2 linked regions of the Caenorhabditis elegans genome follow. The protein of the gene in region 1 interacts with the protein of each later gene in a pairwise test. Each region holds a gene or a part of one and is shown on either strand. Other genes may lie near its edges. The genes, in order: fbxc-32 and sup-36.

The links.
Region 2: the proteins of fbxc-32 (region 1) and sup-36 interact in a two-hybrid assay, tested with the Caenorhabditis elegans proteins (one large-scale study listed by BioGRID).

Annotation. Positions count from the first base shown.
Region 1 is NC_003280.10:942,712-955,052, reverse strand, and holds fbxc-32 (F-box domain-containing protein), read left to right. Parts: upstream 1-6,861; 5' UTR 6,862-6,871; coding exon 6,872-6,942; intron 6,943-7,240; coding exon 7,241-8,269; intron 8,270-8,360; coding exon 8,361-8,493; 3' UTR 8,494-8,568; downstream 8,569-12,341. Other genes in the region: fbxc-7 (F-box C protein), read right to left, coding at 9-79; clec-43 (CUB domain-containing protein), read right to left, coding at 8,925-9,670, 9,716-9,989, 10,040-10,132, 10,185-10,291, 10,345-10,467, 10,518-10,653, 10,705-10,794, 10,838-10,987; fbxc-36 (FBA_2 domain-containing protein), read right to left, coding at 11,945-12,065.
Region 2 is NC_003282.8:6,595,778-6,607,374, forward strand, and holds sup-36 (SUPpressor), read left to right. Parts: upstream 1-5,896; 5' UTR 5,897-5,928; coding exon 5,929-6,042; intron 6,043-6,102; coding exon 6,103-6,498; 3' UTR 6,499-6,666; downstream 6,667-11,597. Other genes in the region: F38A5.22 (TransThyretin-Related family domain), read right to left, coding at 1-163; F38A5.6 (BAR domain-containing protein), read right to left, coding at 385-477, 525-677, 725-843, 898-967, 1,011-1,205, 1,362-1,513, 1,560-1,569; nspb-4 (Nematode Specific Peptide family, group B), read left to right, coding at 2,457-2,651, 2,701-2,754; nspb-5 (Nematode Specific Peptide family, group B), read left to right, coding at 3,421-3,612, 3,662-3,715; F38A5.8 (uncharacterized protein), read left to right, coding at 4,105-4,305, 4,523-4,714; F15B10.3 (BTB domain-containing protein), read left to right, coding at 6,903-6,959, 7,503-7,625, 7,686-8,081; nstp-2 (UDP-xylose and UDP-N-acetylglucosamine transporter), read right to left, coding at 8,396-8,502, 8,916-9,046, 9,094-9,236, 9,286-9,582, 9,863-9,965, 10,012-10,125, 10,327-10,406.

The sequences.
Region 1 (12,341 bases):
AAAATTACCGTAAAATCGGATCAAAATATTGTATAATAGATTTAGTACTTAAATAGGAAAGTGGCTTCAATTTTTCCATGCCTTACTCAAAAATAGTAATGAAAAAGAGGTGCTGTAAGAGGATCAGAAAAAGTGAGAAAATATTTTTTGTTGTTAGAGATAGTTAGAGGTTATGTATTGAATGTGTTTGCTCAAGCTTATCAGTGTTTTCTAGAACGACATAAATTTTGTAGGAGGTGTGATTTTATGACACAAACAACTGTTTTGCGAAAAGCTCCTCTTAATGTAGTCAGTAATCTTCTTTTGGTGTTAGCGTCATTTTCTGAAACAGTTACTGCAGTGGTCTGTACACAATTATTTATTTATTCAAAAAATATCAATATCAGTATCGAGGTTGAACTCTGAGATGCATTAAACAATGCGTTTCACAAAACTCGTAGCTGATAGGAAAACATGTAGTGCACCTTCCTGTCAATATCAGTAGGCTTACCTCTCAATAATCCTCTCTTTATGATTAATCATAACAGTCTTCAAAATCTCCCTTGCTCTGATTTCTTCATTCATTTCAAGCGAATAATAAAAACCAGCTTCTCGTCCAACCTCAATCCAATTGTCTATGAGCCTTGGCACATTTTGCCATCGGGAAGAGGGCTTGAGAGATAAATGGACTCGTTTGTGACGGAGCTTATTCAAGTTCTCCAGGTCGTTATCTAGAAGTAAAAAGTAGCCGTCAAAATACAGAGTTTCCGTGGATCGGATAATTGGATCCTCATAATTGATCTTATAGCCAAAATATAGAGTAATAGAGCTCAGAGGTGTGGAAAAGTCCAGTATTGGCTTAATTGCCTCAAAGAGCTGATTATTATCCGAAGAAAATAATTGCAAGTTATGAACTTGAAACTTCAAACTTGCCGGGATCCGTAGTACAATTCGACAAAAAATGGTAAGCTTATCAACTTTGACAATAACTCTTCCACCGAAAAATTTCTTAAGTAAATACTTCATTGCTTCGTGGAGCTTCCTGTCGTTTCTTAAGTCTTCGTGCCCCGGTCTGGCTGTGAGCAAAATACGATAGGATGTTAGTTCAGGTCTATCGATATCTTTAAACTCTCTCAAGTTGACAGAAATCTCGTCAGGATCTTCGCCCACTACAACATTCCTATGAAAATCCCTTTCCTCAGTAACATCTTTTTTTGGAATATTTTTAGACTAGCGCTTCCTTGCCAACACACACGTAGATTGTATTGAATCTTATTGACTGAAATACTATTTATTTGCAGTCAAACGGATCAATATGACTTTCTAGCACCCAGCAAGACAGCCACCACCAACTGAGCACACCTGAGATAGCTCATCTATCGGGTTTTCCCACGAAGACAGAGGAAAAGTGAGCCCGTCTGCTCTGCAGCAGCCAACTCGCCAAAGAGCTCAGATATTTACATTCGGGCCCTAGTTTTGTTATGTGATATAAGCTGTGAGCTCGACAAGTTCGGCATGCTCCGACGGTTGCCAATTGCTTCATGTGGTGTCAGGCTGTCCCATAGCAGCTTGATCTACAAAAAATGCGGGAATTTTCTCCCAGAAAAATGTGACGTCAGCACGCTCTTAACCATGCAAAATTGGTTGAGATGTCTGTGACTCAACTCCCGCATTTTTCGAAGATCAAACCGACATGGGACATTCTGACATCACGTGTTGCTTGCCGCTCCCCCCGACCCCCATGTTATGCAAATTATAGACCCCTCTCCGCCTTCTTTTCTAATAATAACTCTGCCAAGCGGAGGGGGGCTAGGACTCCCCTCCTCCTGGACACATGTGGTTCATGTGATTCTTATAAGGGCAGGTAAGATGAGAGGGCTGGAAACGCAGACAGAGAAGACGTGCATGTACTATTGATTTCGGCTAGGAGGGTACGGCATTTCGCAATGCAACTCGGCAAAACGGCCTAACTTCATAGCATACTCTTGCAACTTCTTATCAACAATTAGGCATTTTAGCTTTTAAGCAAACTTTTGCAGCTTTTCAGACGACTTTTGCAATTTCTTAGCAGATGTATAGCTAAATTTCGCTCACAATCCCGGTGGTTTTAGCAACTTCTTAACAGCTTTTTACAAAGTTATATAAATGTTTTTATTAAGTTGCAGGACTTTGCTATGAAGTTGCGACGTTTTGCCGAAAATGTTTTTTTTGCAAATAATTTAGCTTACAGCTTAAACCATGGCAGCAGCACCCGAGCAAATATCCTATGACAGTACACGGCATGTTATTCAGTATATGAAGCCGGATTTGAGGTAGTGCTTTTTTTGGATATTTCATGTTTTTGAACCAGTGCAATAGATAGTTGTTAAACAGCGGCCGATATTTTCGGGGGTTCCGCCGGCTTCACGCCACTACCCATCAATGACCTCTGCCTTGCGGAACCCCGAAAGTGTCGGCCGCTGCCAAACAACTACCTATCGCACTGGGTATTTCACTACGGGGTTGGGGCTAGCTAATTGATTCAACTCTGATAAAAGGGCTTCAGCCCCCGGAGACTTACGTTTGCAAGCCTAATCCTACTAAATGTTTCACTTTCAGATTCCGCCTGTCGCTTACTGTCCATCCCTCCGCGCTGCCGAAAAATCAGTTCCCCTTCACATCAAGCACCTCAGAATTACACCTCATACAATTCAAATCAACAAAACAAGACTTCAACTAGCTATTGGTCAAAAGGGACCAGACAATGAGCCAACTTCATATGATATTGATCAGCATGGCGAGAAGGATCTCGGAAAAATAAGACCAGCTTCTGACGATGAGATCTTAATTGATGGAAGACGTCACGAACTTACCGAGGAGGAGAAAGCAGCCAATAGGCCATTCGAAGTGGCAGCTATTCGTGAGAATTTTCGTCTCTTTGCGTTCATGGCCGATATGGTTGAAACAGACGTTGAACCAACTGAAGTACGATTTCCCAACCATTTGGGACAACTCGTTCGGAATTCGAATCAAGAGTTGGAAAGTGTGATTCCAAGTGCAAACTGGCACGTTACGTTCACTCAAGCTCGCCTAGGCATTTTTGAGCCACTAAGCAAAGGCAAAGGCATGGGCAGAAAGCTACAGGAAAAGCTCATTGAGAGGGTAGCATATACTAAGAAGTTGCATGAAATAATGAAGTATCTAGCGGAAAAGCTATTTGGCGGGAAACACCTTAGAATTCAAAAACTGGAAATTGGCTCAAATCCCGGAGTGCTCCGCTTGCCAAACAATATGACGATTTTCACTCGGAATCTAGAACTCTTTGATGAAGACCACGAGTATCTACTAAAAAGTATTCGTCCACTAATGAACCTGAAAAGCTTGCCATTGGCATCGCTGGAACTCCACGGTCCACTTCCACTTGAAAGTGACGTCATAGAAACTTCCAAGAAGCTTCTTCTCAGTGAGATTCTTGATGTGAATTTTGACGTTGAATTCCAAGAAATAAAGAAATTCAAGAATCAAGAAGTAGTGCTGAAATTTGATGAGGCAAGAGCTCACTTTTATGAGTCTTTTGAAGTACCTGCTGGAAGTTGGGAAGCCCCTGGGCAGTTGCTACAGATTTTTTGTTTATCGTGAGGCTGGCGCTAGAGGGCTTGTGAAGAAGATCAAGGACTTGTACTGGGATGATGCAGAGGTTTTTTATGGGTAAGTGGGAACCTTGTTAGGCACTCTTAGACTTACCAATGACAATTGTAGGTATTCATTTAATTTTTTGAACTCTCTGAAACTCCAAGATAACCTATACGATGTTTCTACTAATTTTGTGCAATTTTCGTAAACATTTTACTGTTAGGATTCTAGACCACTTAAGATTACCTCAGGCACTCAGGCACCTGTATAGATATTTTTTGTCTGAATTCAGCTACTCGTAAGCTATATTTTAGTCTAATTCCCGATAGGTGCTCTCAAAAAATTACTCCCGTTTTTTCAGAGCAACCGAGTTTCCGATCACCTTTAATATCCCGATGAAGTACTCCTCATCGAAAAATGAAGTCAGTATTCACTGCGAACTGGATCCGAATCTCCGATTTCATTGGGTATTTTCCATGACAGTTCAGAAGCCGGAAATTATTGACTATTGATTTTTTGTCTCATTTAGTATGTAAATTTTATGTAAAGCTAGTATTTATTTTTTTTCTTATTTATTTCCCAAACTACCTCGAATTTTTTGAAAATAAACTTTGCTAGTTTGCTTCGACAGATAATTCAAAGCTCTACCGCTGAACTCAGTATATTGGAAGTGGTGTCAGGTTGTCCCATAACGGTTTGATCTACAAAAAATGCGGGATTTTTTCCCAAAAAATGAGACGTCAGCACGTTTTTAACCAAGCGAAATCAGTTGAGAAGTATGCGTCTAAATTCCCGCATTTTTCGTAGATCACAACTAAATGGGACATTCTGACACCTTATTTATAGAAATTTCGCAATAGCAAAAGGGCTAAGGGGAGCACATTCCCACATGCCTGGCGTAGCTCACGTGCTTCAAGAGGGGACGTCTACATGGGTGGAAACGGAGACAACTCTGCACTATTGATTTTGGAGCAAGTGCACTTTTGTTGCAAGCTTTGGCCCTTATTCTAGCATGTCACCATCCATGTCTTCTGCCAGTTGGAAGTACGTTATAGAGCATTTGGAGCGTAATGTGAGGTGAGTTAGAGCAGCCGACAATTCACTGGTTTAACTTTCGAGATGACCCTTGAAGTGTCAGCCGCTGAAAAACAAAACAAATATTTCCAGATGCCGTCTCTCAGCCTGTTGCCCAAGCCTCTGCCACACTGAAAAATCCATTCCTCTCCACATCAAGCACCTGGTCATAAACCCTGACATAAACCCTGACAACCGTCCACCACCATGCAGGGAAACGTGCTCAAAATTACCTGCAAGATTGGGTTCCGATTGTGATCCCAGAGACCGAATATCACATAAGGCTCACGCGAAATAAGCCCTTCCTCCAGGAGAGGGTAGCCTATACCAAAAAGCTACATGAAGCAATGAAGTACCTAGTTGAAAGGTTGTTTGGAGGGAATCAGCTTAAAGTTCAAAAGTTGGATGTTTCGCAGTGCGTTCAGTGGTATTTTGTATAAGTTAAACTAACAGTACACTTGGTGACTCTACAAGGATTTATTATAGACAACTAGTAACACTAATAGACAAGTAACGCAAGAACATAAAGTAAGAACTGATTCGGGAAGTCCCTCCAAGGTTGGCAATATGGTCCACGTGTCCAAGGTTGAGTTGTTCGTATTGGCGTGGCAAGTTCATGGCGTGAATGTTGTTGTTGTTAGATTATCTTGTTCCTTGTATGCATCCATCCGGGGTTCACGTCGCAAATGGTTCACGTGGTTGTTCTTTGTTAGCACTGACTGTTGGTTGTTCCTTGAGCGATGGTGATAGAAATGCTCGGTGTTGTTAGCGTCCATTGTAGAGTACATAATTATACAATAATTATAGAATAATTATTAAGTCGTGAATAATGGAGATCCTGCTCCATGCTATTCGCGACATTGGAAGTTTGTTCCGAGTCTGGAGTGCTCTGCTTGCCAAGGAGCCTAACAATTTGCAGCCGGAACTTGGAATTATTGGATCAGAAGGCGGAATCGTTTTGGAGCAAGTTCCGAGTACTCCTTGATCCCAAAAGCATTCCATTCAAATCCCTGGAGCTCAATGGCTCGATTTCTATAGACGATAACGTCATTCAATCTTCTGAGCTCCTTATTCACAATGGAAGACTTGATGAGAATATTGACCTAGAATTCGAAAAACTATTGAAGCTCGCGAATCAACAAGTCGAGCTGACCACGGTTTATGGATCTCCCAATATGGTTGAACTTTAAAGTTCGAAACCTGTCTCTAGCAAGTTGCTATGACAGCTTTGATCTATATATTGAAGTAGTCCGAAATATCCTCAACCCTTCAAGTTTGGACGACTCAGAGTTTCAGCACCCGGATATTCATTCCGCTCGGCGGTTGATTGTCATACAGAGGCCATATTCAAATTGTCTAAATATAGCTAAAACTATCAGCTCTTTTCCAAATGTTCATATTTATAATGGAGATAGGTTTGATATAAGGTATTGGATTAGGCTTGTGGGAATATTGTTGGCACATACGCCGCCTGTTGGGTCACGTCATTCGCTGCAATTTGACACGAAGAGTGAGGTGAAGGAGATGATTAAGGAGTTGAAGAAGGATCCTAAAGCGAGAAGAGTAAGGTAAGTTATTTGATTTTCGAACATTATATATGTTGGACAAGGCTCATCCTAAACATGTTCCTAAGTCAGGCCTAGGTCTGATCAAATCCTGCCCGAAGTTTAACTAAGATCAGACTACAGTTCAGCTGATGAGGCCTGACTAACTTTCAGAACAATAAAAACTGTGTAAAAAATGTCAGTACAACATGCTAAATGCTGAAAATTTTAATTTCCAGCCACAAGAAATCCTACGTCATCTTCCCTATCGACTCGAGTGCAGAAGTCTACGTCTTCTATTAGAGGAATAAGGAAACTATTGGAACATGGAATTTGGTTATTACTGTTCGCAAGCCTGATGTGAAAAATTAATAAATTCTCAATTTCCTCATAATAAATCGTTTGCCAATTGAAATATTTTTGAAATTTTTTGATCTACCAATTTTTGATAGGTTTTTTTTGATCTTCTAAAGATGACGTGGCAAAACGCTCGAGTATTCCAATCAATAAATTGTGCCACAGCGTTTAGCATTGCCCCACCAACAGTCATTCTCTTATTAGTTTTCGCTCTGTACTTTTTTATTTTTTCTATACTACTTTCGTTTTTTGTCTGTTTCCATTTTAAGATATTATTTTTAAATCCAATTTCCAGCTAGAAAATAATGGCGTACTCATTGCCGCTCACCTATCCAAGTCTCAAATGTGTCATCAAGCATATGGAGGTTAATTCGAGGTATGTTTTATTTTCCTTTAGTTAAATTGATATATTTTAATACAAAATACCCAAGTTTTACTCTCAATTGAACAGAAAATAGAAGTTTTTGGGTCATAAATTACCATTCATATTTTTCAACTTTGAGGGCTGATATATCTGTTCTCGTTGGTTTTATCAAAAAAATTTTGACTGACAAAATGTTTCTCATCTATTTCTCTTTAGTTTTGTAGTTGAAAATTTTTTGATATCGTCAAAAGTAACCGAGTTATGAGGTGTCAAAGTGGGCTTGCACTCCACTCAATGTTTTTTTTTTCAGAATCCAACTTTCCCAAAGATGCCCATCAATCCGAAAAGCTGAAAAATCAATCCCATTGAAAATCGGTCACTTGGAACTGGATCAGTGTCGTGTGAAGATCAACAACACAGACTATTCTCTAGCAGTGGTCTGCAATTACTTCTCAAGCCCGTACGATCTCGATGAAGTTGGATCTATGGATCTTGGTGAGGTGATAGATGAGCAACGAGATGTTGTAGTGGATAACCGAAGTCTGGAAGAAGGAGAGAAGCGGATACTCAGAATGGAATACGAGCTAAGAATGCTGACAGATGACTGGGAAAAGAAAAACGCTCTGATCGGGGAGGCACTTAAGAAGGAACTTAAAATGACGACGGAAAAATCGGAGCTAGTGAACCGTAAATGTTACGTCGGAATTATCAAGAGTCTATTTCTGTCTCGCAGAGTGGGTGTTCCTGCGCCAATTTGGGATATTGATTTTGTGAACAAAAATAAACTGATCACCTTCCGCGATGAAAAGCTCTCCTACAACATGAAGCTTCACCAGGCTTTCAAATACCTGATTTTCAAGTTGTTCAGTGGAAGACGGGATGCTATCCAAGTGAAAAAGCTTTCAATCGAGAATAAAGGGATCCTTAGAGTTCCAGCAAGCCTCAACTTGAAGGTGACCCATTTGGAAATCCTGGGCTCCGGTGTGGATAAAATCGCAATTTCCTTTCAACCACTGCTAGAAGGATCCAGCCTGCAATCCATCAAACTGAACAATGACTTCAACATCGAAAATCCTATACTCCAAACCTCCCCACTCCTGATCTTCAAGAACCCAAATGAAAACCTGTTCCGAGCCAGATCAGCATTCACCAATGTTCGAGTAGAGCTGGAAAAGTCGACCATCTTCCCACGAGAAGCTTTGGACCTTATTGCGAATTGGTTGAGACATGGGAAGGAAGTCGGGACGATTTGGAATTTTTCACTGACCGAGGTTACAGCGCTAGTGTGTTTCAAGGATATCCGGAAGCTGCCTGGCGCAAAGTATGCAGGACATAAAACGTAAGTTGGGTTACTGTAGAAGGGTACTGTACTGCATTTATTAAAATGCAAGTACAGAAGATATGTATGTCAAAAAATAATTTTGTTTCAGAAGCTCTCAACTCGGACGTAGTGTTCTCATCCCTATCAACGCATTTTCGGAAATTCACATCTTTGACGAGAAGGAAGAAGCACAAGACGGAAACGACTGGAGTTTGAAGATCACAGTTCGGAGGAAATTGTGAATTTCGTCGTATTGTAAAATTATTGTAAATTGTCGTAAATTTTTTATAGTTTTGATATTAAACGTTTTATTTTTTTGCAGTGGAATGTATCTTGTGAATATGGTTACTGTAGCGTAGAGCTCCCAGCTGAGTGAAGTGCAAAAAATATATTTGGAGCGGCCGACACGTTCGGGGTTCAGCAGCTTGGCGTAAAATGAGTAGATTGGTGTGTGCGCAACGTACTGCGAAAATGTAGTTATTTGGAGAGGCTGCCACATTCGGGGCTCCACGCCGCATTATACATTCGGATACATGCGGCGACCTCGAGGGAGCCCTACTGTAGGGTTACTGTAGCGGTTCTACTACTTTGTTGTTCTGGAATGTTTTGCCTAAAACTTCTATTATATACATAGATAAGGTAAAACTTGAATGATCATTCATTTTCGTAACGGTTAAGAAATATTAGTTCCATAATTAGCTGCCCATGAATAAGTTGCGTAGTTACTTGTGATGCAGTGGAACACCACTTTTAACACATTTGTAGTAGAGTTATAGATCTTATTGCTATAAATGTCAACTATGGCAAATGGCTGAGTTTCATCGATTCCAGAGAAGAGCTGCATATTCTGACCCCAGAAAAGGTGAAGAACTTCGAATTGCAATTGAGCGATCGAGCCTTGAGATTCAGTTATTATGTAGGTGCATGGAGTTGGGTAGCCGGAGGCTTGATCGGGGTAGCCGGGAGAGTAGAACGATCCATTTCCAGTCAAGAACTGAGTTCCATTACACTGTCCTAAAGCAGTTGGTGTCGGCGTGGGCAGATTCTGTGGATGCTTGCAGATGAATGGAATTTTATTATTACAGTTGGTGCTCAACCATTGCCCCTTTGGAATCACACTCCCACTCATTGCCAGGCTTGAACATTTTCCTAGGTTTGGGTTGAAATATCCAAAGTTGGAATAATCAAACGTGCTCCCGTCGACCCAATACTTCCCGACTCCATCAGTTGCTGCTCCGATCCTATACTCTGCTACTCCTGTGGAATTTACCAAGGACTGAAGGAAGAGGTTTTCAGCCTGAGAGTGAATTGACACCAAGTCTCCTGAAACTCTTTGGCAGACTTGTCGGGCATCAGGCTCATCTAGTAGATTTGTGTTGACTGAGTAGCAGAAGCCATTGTACGTATGCTCACAGGAATCTGAAATTCTCAGGGTAATAGCAGCTGACATATTGCGGGTCTTACCTGCCCTGGGCACCTCACAAAAAAAGCTGTAGTAGGAATAATCTCCATCTGAGGATATCCACTTCCCGGCGGAATTTCCGGATGTCAACATGTAAGCACGAGTTCCTACATCGGTATTTGGATTGCCAGGTGCAAAGTTGTTATAGTTGCTAGTTGTTCCAGAGCCATCAGTCCAGGAGCATGAGGAAGCTGACGGATATTGACAGGATAAGCCAAGCCAAATGGGCCGAGTCAGGTTGTTAAGGCCGGAAATGAGCTTGAGAGTGAAATCGTCCTAAAATAGACAAAATCTAAAAAAAAAACTCAGGCCCACAAAAAGCTCACTTGTGCTTCTAGAACTGAAACCATGTTGCTTCCTTTACTAAAATTTCCGCACACATAACTTGCATCTTGGTAGAGCATCGGCGTATTGAATAACTGAAACTTGTTTGAAATTCAAGAAATCTTCAAAACTCTCTAGGAAACTCACCTTGAGACAAGTGTTGTCCTTGTAGCTCCAAAACCCCTCAGGACAAGGTACTGAACCATTTGGCGTAGGTGTAGGTGCTCTGGTGGGGGTGCCAGAGGTGCTAGTCACTGTAACTCATACCTATACCTCTCTAGGTTTTCTCTAGGTTCCTAGGTCTTACCGTGAAATGGAACTTCACAAATATACTTCAACTGTGTGTATTGATCTGCAGATACCCATCTTCCAGCTGAACTTCCTGATACCAGCATGTACACGTAATTTCCGACATCCAAATTTGGGTTTCCTGGAATAAAAATTCAGAAGTTCTTTGCTTTCAGCTCTTTCAGCTCTTACCAGCGACAAAATTGCTATAGCTGGAGGTGTCGGAACTATAATCCGTCCAGTTGCAGGGGCTGCTAGTCTCAGTGCAGATCAGGCCGATCCATTTGGGATCCGATGAGGTTACCGAAAAGGCTAGTGCTTTGTTGTCCTGAAAATTATTTAAATTATATTGAGATGCCGAAAAAACAGCCCAACTTACAATAGAATTATGAATTGAGACTAAATTTCCACCGGGAAAACTTTGACAATCGGAGAGTGCATCCATAAAAAGCTTCTTAGTGGTGCTCACCTAAAATTTCAGTTACAATACATAAAAAAGTAGGGCTACTAACCTGGATACATGTGTACCCATTAAGTACAATAAACCCATCAGGGCAACCAGAATAGCTGGGAGTTTGAGTGTTGTAAGGAGCTCTTGAGGTAATTTGGGAGACAGAAAATGTAGCATATATATGCAGTAGACATATTATGAAAATTTTCATTTTGCGATTCCTTTTTGAACCGGCAAATTACTTTTAAGCACATTTTTGAAGAGGTGATAAGCCTCTTAACCACCCTCAATAGGTTGCTGATAAGGATGACATCTATGAACTTGTGTGATGCTGGAAATCAAACTGAAACCCAGTTTTTGATAACGATTCTTTTAAAGAAATGTGAAGTTTGATGCTGGCGGAAGCAACTAATATGAAGAATTGACCCTATGTTGCAAGATTTAGTCATTAGTCTGGTTTTGGGCTTACAGCTTGGTGCTCCTATAGTACTTCTACAATACTCCTACAGTATCCCTAAAACACGTCGAAAAGTGAGCTGGTTCACTTGTATCATGTTATCTGTTATTTTCAGATACTCGAAGTGCGTTGGTGTCGATTTTCTAAGAGCTTGGTTGGAAGGGGAAACGGCGGAGAGTTGGAATCTGGAATTTAGAATAAATTTGAGTGAGAAAAAGAAACCCAGAAACCTATAACTTACCTCAACATAGGATCGAAATGCTTCACAATGCATTTGACGAATTAGGGTCTAAAGCTTATTTTTTCCGGAGGCAAGAATTTTGAGAATTTTGCTGAAACTTACCAAATTCTCCATAAAATAAATTAAAAAGAGTTGTGGGAGTAACTAGGTAAATGATAAAAGTTACAACAGCAACTAGTAGGAATACAGGGCGGCTAGACATGAGGTGTGTAGAAATGAAGTCCTTGCAAAGGTGCGCGAGATCCGATAAAAAGGGCGAATAGGTAGAAAAAGTGTTTAGCTTGAGACCCGATCTTTGTGAGATACGGATAATTTCCCGTTTTGAATAGGAAATGGCATTTGAAAGTGCAAAGTTTGTAGAATTGTCGTAAACTTTCTGATTTATAGGGGATTTCAAAAGCAAGCTTTGTCTTCAAGATTTAAGGAAATTTATTCAACAATAAAAGCAAGGAACGAAAAAAAAACAACCATTAAAACTGTGTCGGTTGAACTTTGAAATAAACTTTGGATCTTTCCATTATGTCATCGTAGAACACGTAGATTTCCGAGAAGTCGTTCATTTTGATCGCAATGCTCAATGGGAAGTGAGATCTGGAAAATTAGCTTTAAGCTACAAGCTATAAACTACAAACTACAAACTACAAACTACAAACTACAAACTACAAACTATAAACTACAAACTATAAACTATAAACTACAAACTACAAATTACATACTACTAATTACTAACTAAATCCTATAAAACTAAAACCTACAAAGTAACCACTGTAAAGATGCACATGGTGCATCGATGGCTTCAAATGCACTGCTAACTACAAACTACAAAATACAAACTACACACTACACATTACAAACTACAAATTACTA
Region 2 (11,597 bases), on another chromosome or scaffold:
ATACATTTTCATAGAACACGTCAAATGGTATGTAGATATGGTTAGCATATGGTTCTTCGTGGCAAATCAATCGTCCAGTGATTCGGACGGAAAAATCAGTTGGCTTGGTTGTAAGGAATATGGGCAAAAATAAAATTAGAATGAAAAGAGGTAACTTTTGCATTTCAATGACTTAGCTATTCTGGGAATGAAGAATATATTTCATAAATCAGCACTTTCTCATCCTTTTTGTAAGAGTTTTATGTGTCCCACAACATCTGCTCTCGAGATCTTTTCTCAAAAAAAAACATTGACATATTGTTTTTACACAATATTTGTGAACATATTTTTCAAAGCGGTGATTTCTTTATTTCACAGAAAGATTTCTAAAAAAACTCGGAGGTCTCAATGCTTCTTGACATGATAACCAAGACGGAAGATCACTTCGCTCAGAGAATTGTGTACAGTGTCGTGGTAAACCGAAGCTTCACGTGAAAACTGGTAAAATATGTTATTTGACTTCGCATCTCTGGTAGATATCATACCTTCAGAAATTCATTTTCGTGAAGTGGGACAACCATTGCAACTTCGTCAATCAATGCTTGAACTTCATTTGCCGTTTCGTTGAAAGCATTGATGGCTTTACGATACGTTTCGCCTTTTGCTTTCACCTCTTTCGTGGTTTTTGAAGACTTCACCTGAAAATTGTTACTTGATCCACGTATTATCCGAAAAAAACACTTACATGGTGACGAGAATCATCGATTGCATGGAGCAAGTTATTCAAATTTTCTACGTTCGAATTCAATATCTCACTTTCCTCTCCAGTGTACAAACGCATCTTTTTAATCAGATGAGAACGAGCTGAAAATGTGTATTATTTTAGATGTTTGTGTTTGAATTATTTGAAATGCTCACTTCTTTTCTGCACCTGGATCTCCTTTTGAGCAATTCTTCCACAGGCGCTACTGTATTTTTCCAGCATTTTCTGAAGAATTATTATTTGAAATGTTTCAAATATTACGACTTACAGAATGTTGCCCATCAAACTGATTTTTTCCCAAATAATTCAACCATCCTCCAAGAACTTCCCATGGATTCTCGCCGGGAGCACACAAAACTGCTTTCTTTGCCATTGCCTTGGGCATGAATTGAACTTGAAGTTCGATTACATTCACAATTTTGTAGATTAAGTTGTGGTAGGAGGTGAGCTTATCGATGTTCCTCTGAAAATGGATTATAATGATTCAAAAGTGTTTTAGAACGGTCGTTCGCGAGGCACGACCTCCTTTGATTGGCTACTACTGAATATACAGACTACTAAACATACACTGTTGTCGCCAACAGAGACATTTAGTAATGAGTTCAATTCAATTCAGTACCTCAAAACGTGGCTCTAACTTAGTCAGCTCGACAACTCCAACTTTTTGTCCGATGTTCACATAAAGTCGGTTGACAAATCCAGCCTTTGCTGCTTTTTCAGCAATAAGTTCCTTTTCCTTCTTTTGCTCTTCATTTTGAATGCAATTTGTTTCTGAAGATATCATTCAGGTCTTATGCATACGTATTTAAAAACTCACTTTTCTCCATTTTGCACTATGATCGATTACGATTCAAAGGTGAAATGAATCAATTTGGAAATAATTTTTGAATCAAAATAACGTGGCATTAGATAGATTTATTTAATTAGCAAAAAGAAACACGTTATGAACTTTTAAATATTTATTATATGTTTATATTTTTAAATACAAGTTTTATTTATATGTGCCAATACCAAACGTTTTTAGAACTTTTTCATTAAAAAAAACTGCTAAGCCTGCCGTCCGTTCTAGGATCGTTGCGTAAAACAGGACCAGAGAAATCAAAGTGGTATCTTCCATTTTGCAGGTGCCTGCCTCATGCCTGCCTACGTGCTTACCAACATATCTGCCTAACTGTATGCCTATGTGTTCAAAACCTACTTCGATTCAACTTAAATCCAAAAGTTCACAAATGCTCATCACAAAAAGCAACTCACTTTTCCTTTCGGAACACTGTTTCTCATTTTGGAATTGATCATGTCATTGTTCAAAGATCGCTGATAAGAAAATGAGAATTGAAAAAAATCGACTTGTTCACTACAGCATTTTGATGAATTACCCAAATTGAAAGCAAGAGTAGTCGATCTTTTAAGATTCAGAAAAGGGAATTTTCCTACCTAAATAACCTTAAAACTTTTGTTCAAACAATATTTTTAATTAGATTGAAACTTTTCCTGGATTTCAAATTACATATATTAAATTATTTTTGGGAATATTTGCTACTGGATGGTCGATTCTCTGGTTCTTCACGGCCTAGTCTCATAGCATCTTTAATCCAAAAAGTGTCAAGAGTAAGTTTGTTAAGCAAAGAGTCTATGCAAACATGCATCAATCGTATATAAACGGTAACTTTTCAATTTCCAAATCACTTCCGAGTCTCACCTGAAAAATCTAAGAATGTTCCAAAAAACCACAATTGTCATGATTTTTGCCCTTTTCTGTATTTCATCGTGTCAAGTTTTATATACTCCTGAAGTTGTATCATCTCCATATTATTATGCTTCATCTCCAGTTGCTTCTGCTTATCCATATGCTTATGCTTATGGAGCTGCTGCTTATCCAACCGCATATTATGGATGGGGATCTAATAAGGTAATAAGATATCAGTTAGCATTCAATATCTAAATATCTATAAATTCAGGGACAACAAGCTCCATCTTCTGCTCCAACACAGAAATTGACAAATAATCAGTAAAGAGATATTTCATTTTGGAATATGTGTACTATATGAACCACCGAATAAACTGTTTCCATTTTAGTTGTGTTAATGTTATTTATTTTTAATGTGTCTTTACCGTATGGTTTGATTATCAAGAAGGTTTTTCTATAGAGTTCAAAAAGCAGCATGCAAAAAATGAATCTGGAGTTTGAAACACATTTCATTTGGACCATGTCCGAGGATTTTTGAGGTTTAGGTGAATTTCATAGCTGTTCTCAAAGATTGAACTCACATTCGTTTTTTTTAATGCTAATTATGTATAACAGAGTAAATCTTTAAGAAATGAAGTAATTCAGGAATATTTAATAACGGTAATTTTAATACGGTTTCATAGTTAATATAATTGTGTTCCAATTCCCCATCTCCAATAATTCGTCTATACCAAACAGTTAGTCAGAGAGTTCAAGGTGTGCCTGAAATGACAGTCCATACCTTTTTAAGCAAACATCATTCGAAGTATTTTATCGTATGTGTGATTCACATAAAACTCGTCGTCTATATAAAGCGGTAACGTCGTCTATATAAAGCGGTAACGTCGTCTATATAAAGCGGTAACGTCGTCTATATAAAGCGGTAACGTTATATAAGCGGTAACTTTTCAATTTTCCAATCACTTCCGAGTCTCACCTGAAAAATCTAAAAATGTTCCAAAAATCCACAATTGTCATGATTTTTGCCCTTTTCTGTATTTCATCGTGTCAAGTTTTATATACTCCTGTTGTATCATCTCCATATTATTATGCTTCATCTCCAGTTGCTTCTGCTTATCCATATGCTTATGCTTATGGAGCTGCTGCTTATCCAACTGCATATTATGGATGGGGATCTAATAAGGTAATAAGATATCAGTTAGCATTCAATATTTAAATATCTATAAATTCAGGGACAACAAGCACCATCTTCTGCTCCAACTCAGAAATTGACAAATAATCAATGATCTCTCATTTGAAATATATGCACAATAAGAACTATTTGAAATGTCAAAATAAATTATCTGACTTTATTTGTGAAGCCCTAAAATTATTCCACAGCAATAAACACTTAAAAACAAAAAATCTTAACACAAAATTTTTAATTAAAAAATGTGGTTAAAAATACTACAAAATATTTTTTCAACGTAACAACCTTAAATGTTCTAAAAGCCGAAATGTTGTTTTTTGAACATATATAATAAAAAATCAATATTCCTATCTTTGTATGATATTTATCAATTAAAATTCATATATAACGAAAATTTTAAAGGTAAGTTCCGGGCTTCTCAAGCAGAATTTTAGAACTTAACCACATAATTATTTCAGAATTTGTAAAAGTGTCTATCAAAAAAGAATGGCAGACGATGGATACGAAGTAATTGGTCCCGTCTATTCGGTGCCTCCTCTTGCATCACCGATGCCCACGATGGTTCCTCCATCGCCACTCGCAGTCACTCCAAAGGTTAAAAAGGATGAAGATTCTGGATCAAGTGCGGCGGAGACGACCAGAGCCGGAAAACATCGAAAAAGGACAAACGCCTCAGAGTATGAAGTGGTTGGTTTTTTAATGATTTTGGCTTTTTTTAGCGATCTAGCTTTTCTTGTTGAGAAAATACTGAAAAGAATAGTATGACATGAGTATTGGTTAACAGAAAAGTCCCAGAAGTTTCTGTAATTTTGTTAAATTCTTCAAAACAAGAATCTTCAAAAAAGCCTTTTTTTTTAATTGAAAGTAACTCCTCTTTGCTTACATCAATATTATATAAATTCAGAGCAATATGGAGAGCACCCACCATGATGTAGTTTCGATCAAGCACAGACCAAACTCGTGTGACGTTTGCCACGTGGCGACTCTTTTGTTCCTGATTGTTATGGTGATCGCCATATCGACTCCAGTTCTCCTTTCTGCAAGTAAGGGCGGACTTCCATGGATTGAGAATAAGTTGATGGAAGAGTCTAATTAAGAGTACTGCCGAGTTTGAATAAAGATTTTATGGGGAATTTTTTTGTACTCACATCTTTCAAAAGTTTCCTGAAAAATTACTAAGCTTACAGTAACCTTACAGTAACGCTCTTTACGCAAATGTAAAACTTTTACATGTATTTACATAAACAAAAGTTTTACATATTTAAAATGACCATGCTTTTTTCAAAAATCTCAACGCTTTAAAGCGCTATGAACCCCTGAAGCGCCAAAATCTCTGCGTCTATTTAATTTGAATTCCGCGCGCAAATGAGCGACCATCGTGTACTCTCGGACAATCAAATAATTTGTTGATTTTCCACAAGTTTATGTGTTCTTCGAATTTTCTCATTATTTTTCAGTTTTTTAATTGTATTAATAAATTTATGAATGCATTTTGAATGGATTGATGCTCAATGAGACAAAACTCTTGTTTTATTGAATTATTTGGTTGTATTCCCGCATTTTTTCTATTCCACTGAAAAATAAGTTTTTTTTTCATTTCGATCTTTGGGATCTTTCAAATATGACTATTTTCTCTTATTTCTACGAATAACTTCATCTATTGAAAGTACTCTAGTTTCCCAATTCAAGAAAAAACATTTTTACATGAATGTGAATTCCCTCTCGAGACTTATCCGAATAATTAAAAGAACTTTTTACTACTCCTTCCAGAATATTAAAAATCTACCGTTGTCTATCTTCCAAAGTGTTCATTGCTCCATTCGCAATAACATTTTTATCGCACAATAATAACCGTTTTCTCAGCCACTGTTTTTCCAATCCACTTGTTACACTACACTCGAAATATCGGGAAAGTTCAAATTCCACTGTTCCAAGTTCCAAATGTATTGGTTGCAGTATCGATCGGAAAACAATAAACTCCACTCATCCTGCGTAGCACACCTCCTTCTATTTCGAAATCAATGTTTCCTCGTCATATGTTGTATCTCTCACACCCTCCGTCTTCTTCTCTATACTTGTAAAAGAGCGCGTCGCGCAATACTCATAGAGTTTCATTCTTTTGCATTTATTCAGTCATTCATCATATTCTTCTTTTCTCTTGCTTATCTTTGGAATTCCTCTGACATTCATTCTACCATTTACTAGAATTATAACATTGATTTTGTAAATACTCTTCCTCATTCTCTTGCAATAAAAAACAATTTCCTAACCGAAATCATTTCAGAACTTGCACTACATCTTCCGTTAACAATGCCATCTTGCGAGATCAAATTCGACTTCAACGACTCTGACGAGTCAGTCACTGTTCGTGAAACTCGCATTATCCTGCTTCTTCCAGTCATCCGTCGCGCTGTTGAGCTCCAGGTAAGATATCAGATTTTTTTTTTTGAGAAATATAGATTTAAAAATAAACGTTTTTTTCAGTATCCGGATTTCGCGACCGAGGAGAATGCGGTGATTGAAGCTCCATTCAGGGTTCCATTCAAGAAGGATGCTGGAGTATTCCTCTTCGATACCATCGCTCGCTACGCTGCACCAACCGATGACAATGTCCATGAGATCACTGTTGAACAAAGTTACCCAGAAGCTGGACCGAAGACCTTGGATGAGCTCAAAGAAATCATTGAACTCGCCAACTTCTGGGAGTGTACCACTTACATGGAGTGCATCGGATTTGCGATTGCAAAGAAGTTGGAGGACAAGACCATCGAAGAGATCGCCGCTTTCATGGGAGTCGAATGCAATCCACCAGGAAACTTCTTCGCAGAGGAAGACGGATGGATTCATCCACCAGCAGACGCTTTCCAGAATGTCCAATAGATCCGATCCCCTCGTAATTTGCTCTGATCTCCCACTGCCAATTTCCATGATTTTGTGTTAAATATATTCAAGCTCAATACTTTCACTTTTTACCTCCTTGTAATATATTAAATACTTATCAGAACTTTTTCAAATTGATTTTAAGGAATGAATAAAATGATTTTCTCGAAATGTGCTCACAAATCTTAAAAAGAACTCGAAATCAGAATTGCCAAAAAAATCAACAGAGAGGAAAGTAATTGAGGACGATTCATGCAAAATTACAGTATCAACTCGATTAGTTCAACCGTGAATTGAATAAAAAAAATCGACGTCAAATCCACGGAAACAAGGTTGCCACGATTTTCAGAGGTACTCGCCCTATTCCAGTTATTCCGGATTTTGATGAATTACCGTAGCTCACGATGTTTACTATTCCTTTCAAATTGAAAGTTTCAATGTCATCATACTTCCGTGAAAAAGTGAGACATTCAGTTTTAAAGGCACATGATTTTTTTCTGAGTTATTATCGCGACGATTTCGGCTAGTGCTCACGCTTTTACAAATGTATGATAGCTCTCCTAGTTGAATTTTGTTTTAATCTGAAAACGTTTAAATGGGAATATTCAGCCCAGATGTTCTGCTTTTAATACTACATGTGCAAATTTGGAACACTGCCAAGTGATCGATATTATTGTGTATCTGACATTGTTCAATATATATCTACTTCCAATTTACAAAGGGTCATAGATTGCCCTTTCTTCCTACAATAGCAATCTTGGCAGTGATGTTTACCTCTAACGTCTTGCCAATGTATTCTAGGTCACATCTTTCGACTTTCTTCCCACTGTTCCACATTGATTGTGACAATGAGCACAGTTTAAAGCGTCGTAGCAGCTGGTATATCTTTTCTTTCTATTCATTCATAAGACTTTTGTAATATTTAGTTTAACCAATTGTTTCTTTCTCCGCGCGGAGTTTTCCATTCTCATAAATCTTTCATTTTCAAAAATTCGTTTTTTCAGCCAATAATAATGCCATCCTGCGAGATCAATCTCATCTTCAATGACTCTGAGGAGCCAGTCACCCTACGTGATACGGGGATCATTATGCTAGTTCCAGTGATTCTTCGGTCGGTTCAGTCTGAGGTACGTTAGCCCTGAATTCAAAATTAGTATTTTCGAAACTAAATCTCGAATTCTTTGCAGTTCCCCGACTTTGAGAATCAAGATAACGTCAAGGTTACTTCTCCACTTTCAATTCCGTTCAATAAGAAGGCAGGTGTCTTCCTCTTCGAATATATTCAAAAATATGTTCCACCAAATGATGATACAATCCACGAATTGACAGTCGTCGAGAACTACAAAGAAGCTGGACAGAAGACTTTGGATGAGCTCAAAGAAATCATTGAGCTAGCCAACTTCTTCGAGTGTACTGATTTCATGGAATGTTTGGGATTTGTGATCGGAAAGAAGTTGGAAGACAAATCAGTTGAGGAGATCGCTGCGTACATGGGTGTGGAATGTAATGCACCGGGACACTTTTTCGATGAAGCCGATGGATGGGTTCATCCACCAGCAGATGCATTCCAGAATGTCCAATAGATCCGATTCTCCCCCAGTTTGCTCCGATCTCGTTCTGCTAATTTTCATGATTTTTTGTTAAATACAACCTCAATACTTTCAATTCTCGTTTCACTGCAATAAAACTTGTTGACTATATATTTACTTCCACTGTTTGAATTTTAAAGTTTCTGAAATAGTTTATAAAAACTTGGAAAAAATATCACAATACTTGAATCAGGATGCAATAGAAATGAGCACTATAAAAGCTAGCGGCAATCGGGGAAAAATGACAGATCAGTGAAACTTTGGGATTTGGAAAGCGTCGAGAAACATGGTACATTGAACGTGATTATCTACTGTTTCTTCTTCTCATCTTGCTTGTTGGCAGTTTGACTTCCCCAAATATCAGCAAATGCAAGAGTTCCAGCAAAGACAAGAATGGCTCCAAGCCAATGTTGAGCTGAAAAAGAGAGGAATTTTGATTTCTAAAGACGATTTTTTAGTATTTCTTTTTTTTTCCTTTCAGATTAGATTATGGAGCCCTAGTTTACGACCAAAAGAATCACATAACGTTTTTTAAAACATTTGATTTTGGTACAAAGATATGGTACCCGGTCTCTGAACGACCAAAACTTCCCAGCTACCGTACCCGCAAGTGTTCTAATTTTCTACGACTTTTCTGTTTTTTTTCTTCAATATTTTGATTGATCTCCATCAGGAAAAATGTTCTAATTTTTGCATTATAAATTATGAAAAATTGAGCGAAACTCTAAAAATATGCTTTAGGTATGGTAACCGCGAAGTTTCGATTGTGTCGAGACCAGGAACCTTTCTAATCACTTTTACAATTAAAAAAGTCAATAATAATCTTACGTGTAAATGGATTCTTGAAATAGACAATGGAAACGATAAGTGAGAGGAATTTCCGAAGAGTAACAACCAGCGTGACGGTGAGCGAATCAACACGAGAGTTCAGTTGATAGACGTACTTGATGCATCCGTATCTGAAAGAAATATTATATTTATTTGCTAATATCTAAAATTCACTTACTGAAGAAGACAACTTGCAATCAAATCAACCCAGAGAGATGGAAGCCATGGGAATACAGAATGTGGAGCACTGGCAGAAAGTTTCGTAGCCGCTGACACAATGTCGCTTCCCATGATGAGGAAGAATGGAAGTGAGATCAAATGCTAGAAATAAGTTCAGTCAAAATTATTGAATTTGAATGAGGTTACTTACAGTAATGAACATAGCTTCATCTGGATGTTTCCCATACTTCTCGTACATTTGTTGTTGATAGATTGCTAAAACAGCTGAAGCCAATAGAGCAAAAGTGAGCATAATAATTCCAATCGTCCATTCCTTATAATGTTTCGATGCTTCTTCCATCGAAAGTCCCGAATCTCCTTGTGTTGACGTGGCAAGTGTGCAAATGACAATTCCGATGGTAATAGCGAATACGGAAATGTATTTCCGAGCAGAATAACTTTTACCAACCATAACAACTGAGAGAATCAATGTGGCAAGAAGAGAACCCTGAAAAAGTAGGTTTAGCCGGTTTTGAATGAATTTTACATAATTTAAATTGCTTATAAAACCTCTAAAACTAATCATCCGCCAAGGGTGTATTTTTTGGAAAATCGAACATTTTAATTTTTTAAAAAGATTTTTCAAAAAATACCTGTAATTTTTGGTTTCGAATTACATATTTTCATATGTCATAAATTCATCGAAAATTTGGAAATAGTTTGTTAATTTTTTGGGTTTTTTTCAGAAAAAACTGAAAAAATTCCCCTGCGAAATTCCTGGCGCTCACCGATCTGAAGATGATATGAAGTGGAACAGGCACATGGAAATTGAGAGCTTGATTATTGACAACATTGACAATGAAGAACATGGTAACCGTCTTGAAATAACCTCTGAAAAAATTAACGATTTTTACTAAAATAAGAGCAATAAACTCACTTTAATGGAATTTGATTTTTAACTGTGAAGAATTTGGAAGTTGAGACGAGTCCTACTGTAGAGATGAAGAGAAATGTAGAAAATGTCATCAGGTTCATGGCAGATGGCTCTTGTCTGTAAATTTATTTTTTTAACGCTTCTATGTTTGATTTTTAAGTTTTTAAATTAAATTTTTAATTTTGTTAAATTTATTATTTGACCTCAAAATACTTTCATCAGATTCTTGCTACACATTTTTTGTACCCGAAAACCGGTTTTTTTTAATCGTGTTTTTGAAAGATGCTATTTTGTAGGGTATTCTGTAGGTTTTCTCACTTTGCGATGTTCTCCACAAAAACCATACATCCCATACAACTACCAAGTACACCGAAAATCGGTGCAACTGCCGATGCCATTCTTACTGGAAAAAATTGGTGATATATTGAAAAAAGGAAATATAAGAAAATGCAGTAGGAAAAAGAAGACAAGAAAGAGAATGAAAAAGATTATTGCCAACCAATTTTGTCGTAGGAATTCCATAGAAACCTTTGAACGAACACATTACATTAAAAAAGTGATTTTCCTTGAAAATGGCCCAGAAAATTGGAAAAAGTTAAAATTGAGTAATTTTGCCAAAAAAAATACAGTACATGGTCTCGCCACGACAAGTTTTTGTTAAAGGCATGCGCCTTGAGAGACTACTGTAATTTCCAAACCCTCGTCACCAGTGCGAAATATGCTTGTCTTTTTTGGTTTTTTGGCAAAAATGTTTTTTTGTCTAAAAAAACTACAAAAATTCAGACATATAAGAAGCGAAAATAAGTCTTTTTTAGGGTTAGAGAATTTAAATTCATGTTTTTTGCCCAATTATCCAAGCAAAGAGACAAAAACTCGCAACATTACAAAAAAAAATCTCGAAAAACACACAACTGGTCTGATGAATTAATGAAAGAAAAAATGATCAGCACAAACTACAATCGAAACTGTGTTGTTTGTGTGTTTGAATACATTCCCAGTGTGTGCGTGTGTGTCCGCTGAGATTGTGAACGAAAATGATTGGAACTGAGCGATTGGCAAGTGGAGTGGGAGAGTAAAAATGTGAATAAACGCAGAGTGTTAGACAATTCAAAAGTGAGGTTTTGGTCATCTTGATGTTGGAATTGCGGTTGGATTGAGGATATTACAATAAGCAGCTGTAGATTTTTTTTTGAACAATCATCGAGAAAATTTTACAATATCGCAAAAAATCGCTGAGTAGATACAGGATTTTTTAGAAAATATGAAGTTTTAGTGAATTTATAAGAGTTGTTTTCAAATTGAGATTAGAAATCTACCATATTAAAAAAATAACTTTCAGGACAACACGAAATGCCAAACTTCAAAATGGTAGACTAAAATAAAATACTCTGATCGAAATGGCTGAAATGACGAAAAAACTTTAGTTGATGTGATTTGATAAGAAGTCTTATCGTCACACTACAACCTACATGTTACATACCACAAATGTGGGTAGAATAAGTCATACGGAAACCTGAAAGATTGAGAAGAAAGATGCATATGAATTAAATTGGAATAAACCGCAATGCTGAAAAAGAAACAATGCCGAA